2 linked regions of the Macaca fascicularis genome follow. The protein of the gene in region 1 binds, or shares a complex with, the protein of each later gene. Links are inferred from orthologs where the notes say so. Each region holds a gene or a part of one and is shown on either strand. Other genes may lie near its edges.

Region 1 (2,720 bases):
TGAGACCAGCCTGAACAACATGGTGAAACCTCGTCCTTATGAAAACTACAAAAATTAGCTGGGCGTGGTGGTGTGTGCCTGTAGTCCCGGCTACTCAGGAGGCTGAGGCAGGAGAATGGTGTGAACCTGGGAGGCGGAGGTTGCAGTGAGCCAAGATTGCACCATTGCACTCCAGCCTGGGCGACAGAGCGAGAGTCTGTCTCAAAAAAAAAAAAAAAAAAAAAAATAGCAAGAAACCAGTGTGACTGCATTGGGGCCAGACTCTGAGTCCAAGGGAGGTGCTGAGACTCCAGCAGCACGTGGGGACCCTGTCTTTGAGGGACTCGGGGCGGAAAGGGAAGGTAGGAAGGGCCGGTTCTATCCGTGTGGTTTCAGGGAGTCCTGGGCCACAGCCCAAGTCCCCGGGGTCCACATCACATTGAAGGCTGTGTGGGTGGTGCCCGAGGGCTCGCCCCCTGCAAGCGCAGGGGCAGGGTGGTGCCAGGCCCAGCATGAGCCACCCTGTGCCTGGCCCCCAGGAGGAACAAGGTGCTGAACCACTTCAGCATCATGCAGCAGCGGCGGCTCAAGGATCAGGACCAGGATGAGGACGAGGAGGAGAAGGAGAAACGCGGCCGCAGGAAGGCAAGCGAGCTACGCATCCACGACCTGGAGGATGACCTGGAGATGTCGTCTGATGCCAGTGACGCCAGCGGTGAGGAGGGTGAGCACGGGGGCCCGGGCATTAGGCTACAGAGGTACCTGCTCAGGCGGTGCCAGTGAAGGCACAGTCTACCGTCGCTCACAGTGGCCCTAGAATTCGAGGCACCTGGGGCCAGGTGCGGTGGCTCACGCCTGTCGTCCAGCACTTTGAGAGGCTGAGGCAGGCAGATCACCTGAGATCAGGAGTTCGAGACCAGCCTGGCCAACACAGTGAGACCCTGTCTCTACTGAAAACACAAAAATCAGCTGGGCATGGTGGTGCATGCCTCTAGTTCCAGCTACTCGGGAGGCTGATGCAGGAGAATCGCTTGAACCTGGGAGATGGAGGTTGTAGTGAGCCGAGATCACGCCACTGCACTCCAGGCTGGGCGACAGAGAGGGACTCCGTCTCAGAAAAAAAAAAATGAGAGTCAGGCGAGGCTGCCTGGAGGAGCAGTGATATCAGTCAAGAGGCAAAGCCAGAGCCCGGGAGAACTGAGCTGTGGCCCTTCTTTCTTTTTTTTTCTTGAGACAGGATCTCTCTCTCTCACCAGGGCTGGAGTGCAGTGGTACAATCACAGCTCACTGCAGCCTTGACCTCCCAGGGTCAAGCAATCCTCCCACCTCAGCCTCCTGAGTAGCTACAGGACTACAGGCATGCACCACCATGCCCGGCTAATTTTTGTTTTTTTCTTTTGGAGACAGAGTCTTGCCCTGTTGCCCAGGCTGGAACTCAGTGGTGCGATCTCAGCTCACTGCAACCTCTGCCTCCCAGGTTCAAGTGATTCTCCTGCCTCAGCCTCCCAAGTAGCTGGGATTACAGGCATGCGCCACCACGCCTGGCTAATTTTTGTGTTTTTAGCAGAGACGGGGTTTCACCATGTTGGCCAGGCTGGTCTTAAACTCCCGAGCTCAGGTAATCTGCCTGTCTTGGCCTCCCAAAGTGCTGCGATTACAGGTGTGAGCCACAGCACCTGGCCTAATTTTTGTATTTTTTGTAGATACTGGGGTCTCACTCACTATGTTGCCTAGGATGGTCTGAAAACTCCTGGGCTCAAGCCATCCTCCCGCCTCAGCCTGCCAAAGTGCTGGGATGACAGGCATGAGCCACCGCGCCTGGCCTGGCTGAGGTCTTTACGGGGGTTCCTATGAGAAACTGCAACTCTGGGTTGGCCAGTTTCAATAATTCCTGTGCGCTCTGGGCTGTAGGGGCTGTCCCTGGTTATCAGGTGCCTCGCCTGGGGTGGTCTGGGAGTGGGGAGTGGTCTGTGAGCGTTAGAGAACGTGGGTTGGGGTGTGGGGTCTGGACCAGGAGTTTGTTTAGGAGAGCTGAGCTCCTGGGCTGGCCTTGGTGGGGCAGTCTCCCCAGTCAGTGAGGCCCCCAGGATGTCAAAACTGCACAAAATACCCACTGCCTCCCCCTCCTTTTCCTTCCTTTCCTCCCTTCCCAGGCGGCAGAGCCCCCAAGGCCAAGAAGAAGGTGCCGCTGGCCAAGGGTGGCAGGAAGAAGAAGAAGAAGAAGGGCTCTGACGACGAGGCCTTCGAGGACAGCGACGATGGGGACTTCGAGGGCCAGGAGGTGGACTACATGTCGGATGGCTCCAGGTGAGGCCGACGCGAGGCGGCTGCGAGACCCCGTGCGGCCTTGCGGGCGCGCACTCACCCTCTGCCGCCCCTGTCTCACAGCAGCTCCCAGGACGAGCCTGAGAGCAAGGCCAAGCCGCCCCAGCAGGAGGAGGGGCCCAAGGGTAGGCGGCGGCTGGGCGGGCCCCGGGGAGATGCGGGGGGAGATGCGGGCAGTGCGTCTCTGCTCTTGCTCATACCCTGTCCCCCCAGGTGTTGATGAGCAGAGTGACAGTAGCGAGGAGAGTGAGGAGGAGAAGCCACCCGAGGAGGACAAGGAGGAGGAGGAGGAGAAGAAGGCGCCCACCCCGCAGGAGAAGAAGCGCAGGAAAGGTGCGGCCGGTGTGGCCCATGTTGGAGGCTCGGGTCAGGGCCTGGTGCTCTGCTGCCTCCTCCCCTCTCCCCTGCAGGCCTCC
Region 2 (4,603 bases), on another chromosome or scaffold:
CCCCAGCACAGCACAGGCGTGTGCACACAGAGGTGTTCCTTGCACCCCCCTCCCTCTCAGGTGTCCTGAGATGCTACTCCTGGGAAACCCCTCAGAAAACTGCCTCACCCGAGACAAGTGCCTGCTGGACAGAGGTGTGATCCCAGGCCTGGTGTCATATGACACCAGCATGCATCGCAGGATTATTAGTGTATTTTGAGTCTAAAAATAATAAATATGTTTGAAGTAGTTTCCTGTTGTGTAGTTAGTTTGCTTATCAACCATGATAGGTATCCAAGACCCCAGAGGGAGACAGAGGTGTTATGGAAGAGGCTTGAGGCTGGCAGCCAGGAGACCTGTGTTCTGGCGCTGCCACTGCCTAGTACACAGTAGTAGTTATGGTACCTCTGCGTTTCTGGGCTCAAGTCTTCCCATCAGTAAAATAGGGGTAACAGAAGCCTTCCCACAGACCATTAGCTCTCTTGGCTGCCCTTGTCTGACGATTTCAGTGGTACATTCTTTAGCCCCAGTAATTTTCTCAGCCTGTACACTGGCTGGGTTCCCTTTGCATGTCTGGTTAGCTCTGTTTTCTGCTTTGCTCTCTTCTGCCTAAGTCAGCTAAATATTATTGGGGGAAGTCAGCAACTAATTGAATTTCAGATCTCTTGTGGGTCTTCCACTGGATCTTTTTTGTACCTCTCTTCATTCCTTGTATCTTTTGACATCCTGTGAAGTTTTTGCAGTAGCTGTTCCAGTTTTCATTGCATTCTCCTTTTTCCTTCATAGCATCCATCTCACACTCAGCAGACAACCATAATTCTTAATTTACAGAGACGACACAGGCTATGGAGCAGGGTTCCATCAGTGCCCACCCTCTGTCTCAGGAAGAGGTGTCAGTCTTTGCAAAGGCAAACTCTTTATCTGGTTACTCTTCTCCCACCTCTTAAATGTAGCTCCTGTCAAGTTCTATTTTAGAGCTTTTGTCTGTTGGAGCAGCCGCCACTTTGTTTGAGGCCCATTGAGAGTTTGAGACTCTCTCCAGTCTGTTTAGGGGACTTCAGTAGTTCTTGGTTGAGCATGCACCCCACATGGTGCCCACTGCGAGGCACTGGAGATGCAGAGACAAAGAGCTCCCACTCACCCACCGCAGCTACACAGACTGCAGAGGAAGCATTAGGTTAAAGAACATTATATCTTTTCCTGAAGTTTTCAGAAGTGCATGGTCCATACTTGAGACTGCAAGGGAAAGGGTATTTACTTATAATTCAGGTATACTTTCCTAAAATATGCATTCATATTAAAATATACTTTTGTTTTTCTGTAGATGTACAAGTTCTTTTTAAGGGCTTCATGATATTCTACGTGTGTATACTTCACCAGGTCTCTTATCAGTGGACAGTACAAACAGTACTACCATGAATGTCCCTGCACTCGTATCTTTGTTTACAACTGCAAGTGTTTCTGCAGTATGAGTTCTTAGAAATGTTACTGTTAAGTCAAGGACGTACGCGTGTTTTGCCAAACTACCCTCCGAGATAGCTGAATCCGGTACATTTTAAAGCAGGAGGCGGTAGAAGACGCTCGGCGGTTCCGGCCTCCGAGCACCAGGCGGCGCTGTGAGCCGTCTTCGCGGAGGCCACGCTGACTGACTTCCGGTGTCGGCGGTGGCGCAGGCGCAGTCACCGCGGAGCTGACGCGGAGGCTGGCGGCCACAGGGAGCGATGCCGTACGCCAACCAGCCCACCGTGCGGATCACTGAGCTCACTGACGAGAATGTGAAGTTCATCATCGAGAACACCGACCTGGCGTAAGGCTGCCGAGGGAAGAGGCTGGCGGCTCTGGGGCGCCGGGAGGCCCAAGCTGGGGCCCCGGGGGCAGGGAGCGGGGGTGGAGTGGGGGTGATGTCCTTCCAGAGCTGCCCCCCTGCGCCAGGGCTTTAGCTTTGGGAGCCTGCGGCGCGGGCCCAGCCTGTCGAGGCTGCAGCGCCTTCACGCCTCTTGGCTTTTCGTCTTTCAGGGTGGCCAATTCGATTCGGAGGGTCTTCATCGCTGAGGTGCCCATAATAGGTAAGCGACCCCCCTTCCTCGTTCCCGGGCCCACGGGTTCCTGCCCCGCTCTCCACCCACACTCCCTGGGGCTCCTTCCAGTCCTTGGTTCGGGCTGAGGGTGGTAGTGCTGAGAAAAGTGCATTGCTGGAGACTTGACCATACCCTGTGCCCTTGGCCCAGTGGCCGCCTCCCTGGCACCCACGGACCACTTAGGTCCACTGTTGTCCTGCGTATGCATTGCTGAGAAGCATGGGTTTAACAGTGTGCAGACTTGGGTTCAAATACTGTTTTCACTACTATTGTCACAAAAGTTTTTTAAATGTTTTCAACTTTTATTTTGGATTCAGGGGGGTACATTGGTGCAGGGTTGTTGCCTGGGTATAGTGCGTGATGCTGAGGTTTGGGATATGAATGATCCTTTCACCCAGGTAGTGAGCCTAGTACCCAATAGGTAGTTTTTTACTCCTAGCCCCACTGCCTCCCTCCCTGCTCTAGTAGTCACCAGTGTGTCTATATTGTCATCTTTATGTCTATGCGTGCCCAGTTTTAACTCCCATGCGGTGTTTGGTTTTCTGTTCCTGTGTTAATTCTCTTAGGATAATGGCTTCCAGGCCGGGCTCACGCCTGTAATCCCAGCACTTTGGGAGGCCGAGGCTGAGGAACACCTGAGGCCAGGAGTTCGAGACCAGCCTGGCCAACATGGGAAAACCTCGTCTCTACTAAAAATACAAAAATTAGCCGGGTGTGGTGGTGCACACCTGTAATCCCAGCTACTGGGGAGGCTGAGGCAGAATTGATTGAACCCGGAAGGTGGAGGTTGCATTGAGCTGAGATCATGCCTCTTACGCTCTAGCGTGCGCAACAGAGTTGAGACTCCTTCTCAAACAAAAGAAAATAAAAAAGAGGATAGTGGCTTCCAGCCGCGTCCATGTTGCTGCAGAGGACATGATTTCGTTCTTTTTAATGGCTGCATCAGTTACTATTTTTGAGAAACTTGGGCAAGTTATTAAACTTCTGCGTACTTCAGTTTCCTCATCTGTAACATTCAGCCACTAATGATCTTTATCAGGGTAATGTTAAGGATTAAGTGAGGTAATCCATAGAAGTGCTTTATGTTTAGTGAGTGCTCAGTGCTGGTAGATGGCTTTTTTATTAATCTATTCCTTCAACAGCATTTATGGAGCATGTAAGTGGCAGGCATGGTGGTAAGCTCTGGGAATACAAAGCTGTAGAGAACATGGTTTTTGCCCTCATGGAGTCCACAGTGAGGTTGCAGGGGGAGAGATGAATCCACAGACAACACTAAAGCAAGGTAGACTGATCAGTAGTTCAGGAGAAGCATAGCTATGGTGCAGTTGGCTCTTAGAGGAGGGAACATCAATTTCTGGTCTGGTTCCAGCCACTTTGCTCCAGGTGCTTAATGCATTGATTATACTTGTATGAAATACTTCAAGCATTTCCGAGAGTCAGGTCCAGAGAGTTTGGGTTAGGCAAAAGAAATATGTGGCATCAAATATTTAGACTTTTAAGGAAATAAGCAAGCCAAATGATTAGGCAAGAGAACGTTGTAGTTTATCCACTACCACCCCCGGCCCCCCAGTCACTTCTTCAATTCAGCTTGGAGTGCTGGACCTCCCCCTGACTAATCACTTCATGTCTCTGGACCTCAGTTTCATCAAGAGTCAGGTGAGGGAGTTGTACTTCATGATGCAGCCCTGCCATTCTGAGTCTAAATGCCTCTTTCCCCACAAATTCAGTTCTACAAATAATGTTGAGCACCCAAGCTAGGAATACAAAGACATCCCAGCACCTGCCTGAAGGAATTTCTGAAGCTTGGGGTATAGACATAACATACACAAATGTGACACAAGGCACACTATGACAAGTGTCTTCAGGGAAGTCTGAAGAGAGTTTCGTGAGAGAGGAGGTGAAAGAGAGGGAGTGCCACACCTGTAGCATAGAGGGCAGGCAAGGCTTAGTTTTTAGGAGGCACAGAGGATCTTAACCTGTACAGTGAGGAGGGGAAGGGTGTGCTGGAGGAAGGGGCCGGGGGATTAAAGAGGCAGAAAAGCTTGGGTCAGGGTTCTCTTAGTTGGCTTGGACTGGGGAAGCAATGGGAAGCATAGCAGGACAGAGTAGGTGGAGGCCTAGCATGTGGAGGTCCTCTTCCGACCTCTGTTCCTAGTGTCTGTGTCCCTCATTTGGCAGTTGGGCTCCAATGCCATTTGATTCCTGGATTTAGTTGGTTCCATGCAAATGTTTATGAATGAATAAATATGTGTTTAAGTCAAGCGTGTGTGATAGATAATACCGTCTTTACCCTCCTACCTGCTCATTGCTGCTAGGGATTGGGTTCTATATTTAGTATGCTTTGTGCGTTAAAGGAATTCAGTAAAAGTCTGTTGGTTGAATGTTTAAAAAGTGCTAAGTTGGGCAGTCCAGTCATTATATCCTAAAATATAGGTATGGCCCATAAGTCTGTGTTACTTCTGTGAGGTTTTCCCTGACTTTGAAGTGCTCAAATAGTTCATGTTCTTGGATTTGGTGGTGGCACAGGTAGCAGATTTAAGTGCTTC

What was found.
Region 2: GTF2F1 (region 1) and POLR2C share a complex: the UniProt entries of both Homo sapiens proteins name them as parts of the TBP-based Pol II pre-initiation complex. The link is inferred for Macaca fascicularis from reciprocal best matches to the Homo sapiens genes GTF2F1 and POLR2C.

The regions. Positions count from the first base shown.
Region 1 is NC_088393.1:7,160,963-7,163,682, reverse strand, and holds part of GTF2F1 (general transcription factor IIF subunit 1), read left to right. Parts: intron 1-518; coding exon 519-703; intron 704-2,132; coding exon 2,133-2,286; intron 2,287-2,367; coding exon 2,368-2,429; intron 2,430-2,517; coding exon 2,518-2,637; intron 2,638-2,720. UniProt on the Homo sapiens protein: TFIIF is a general transcription initiation factor that binds to RNA polymerase II and helps to recruit it to the initiation complex in collaboration with TFIIB. It promotes transcription elongation.
Region 2 is NC_088394.1:53,561,264-53,565,866, forward strand, and holds the start of POLR2C (DNA-directed RNA polymerase II subunit RPB3), read left to right. Parts: upstream 1-1,656; 5' UTR 1,657-1,700; coding exon 1,701-1,786; intron 1,787-1,995; coding exon 1,996-2,045; intron 2,046-4,603. UniProt on the Homo sapiens protein: Core component of RNA polymerase II (Pol II), a DNA-dependent RNA polymerase which synthesizes mRNA precursors and many functional non-coding RNAs using the four ribonucleoside triphosphates as substrates.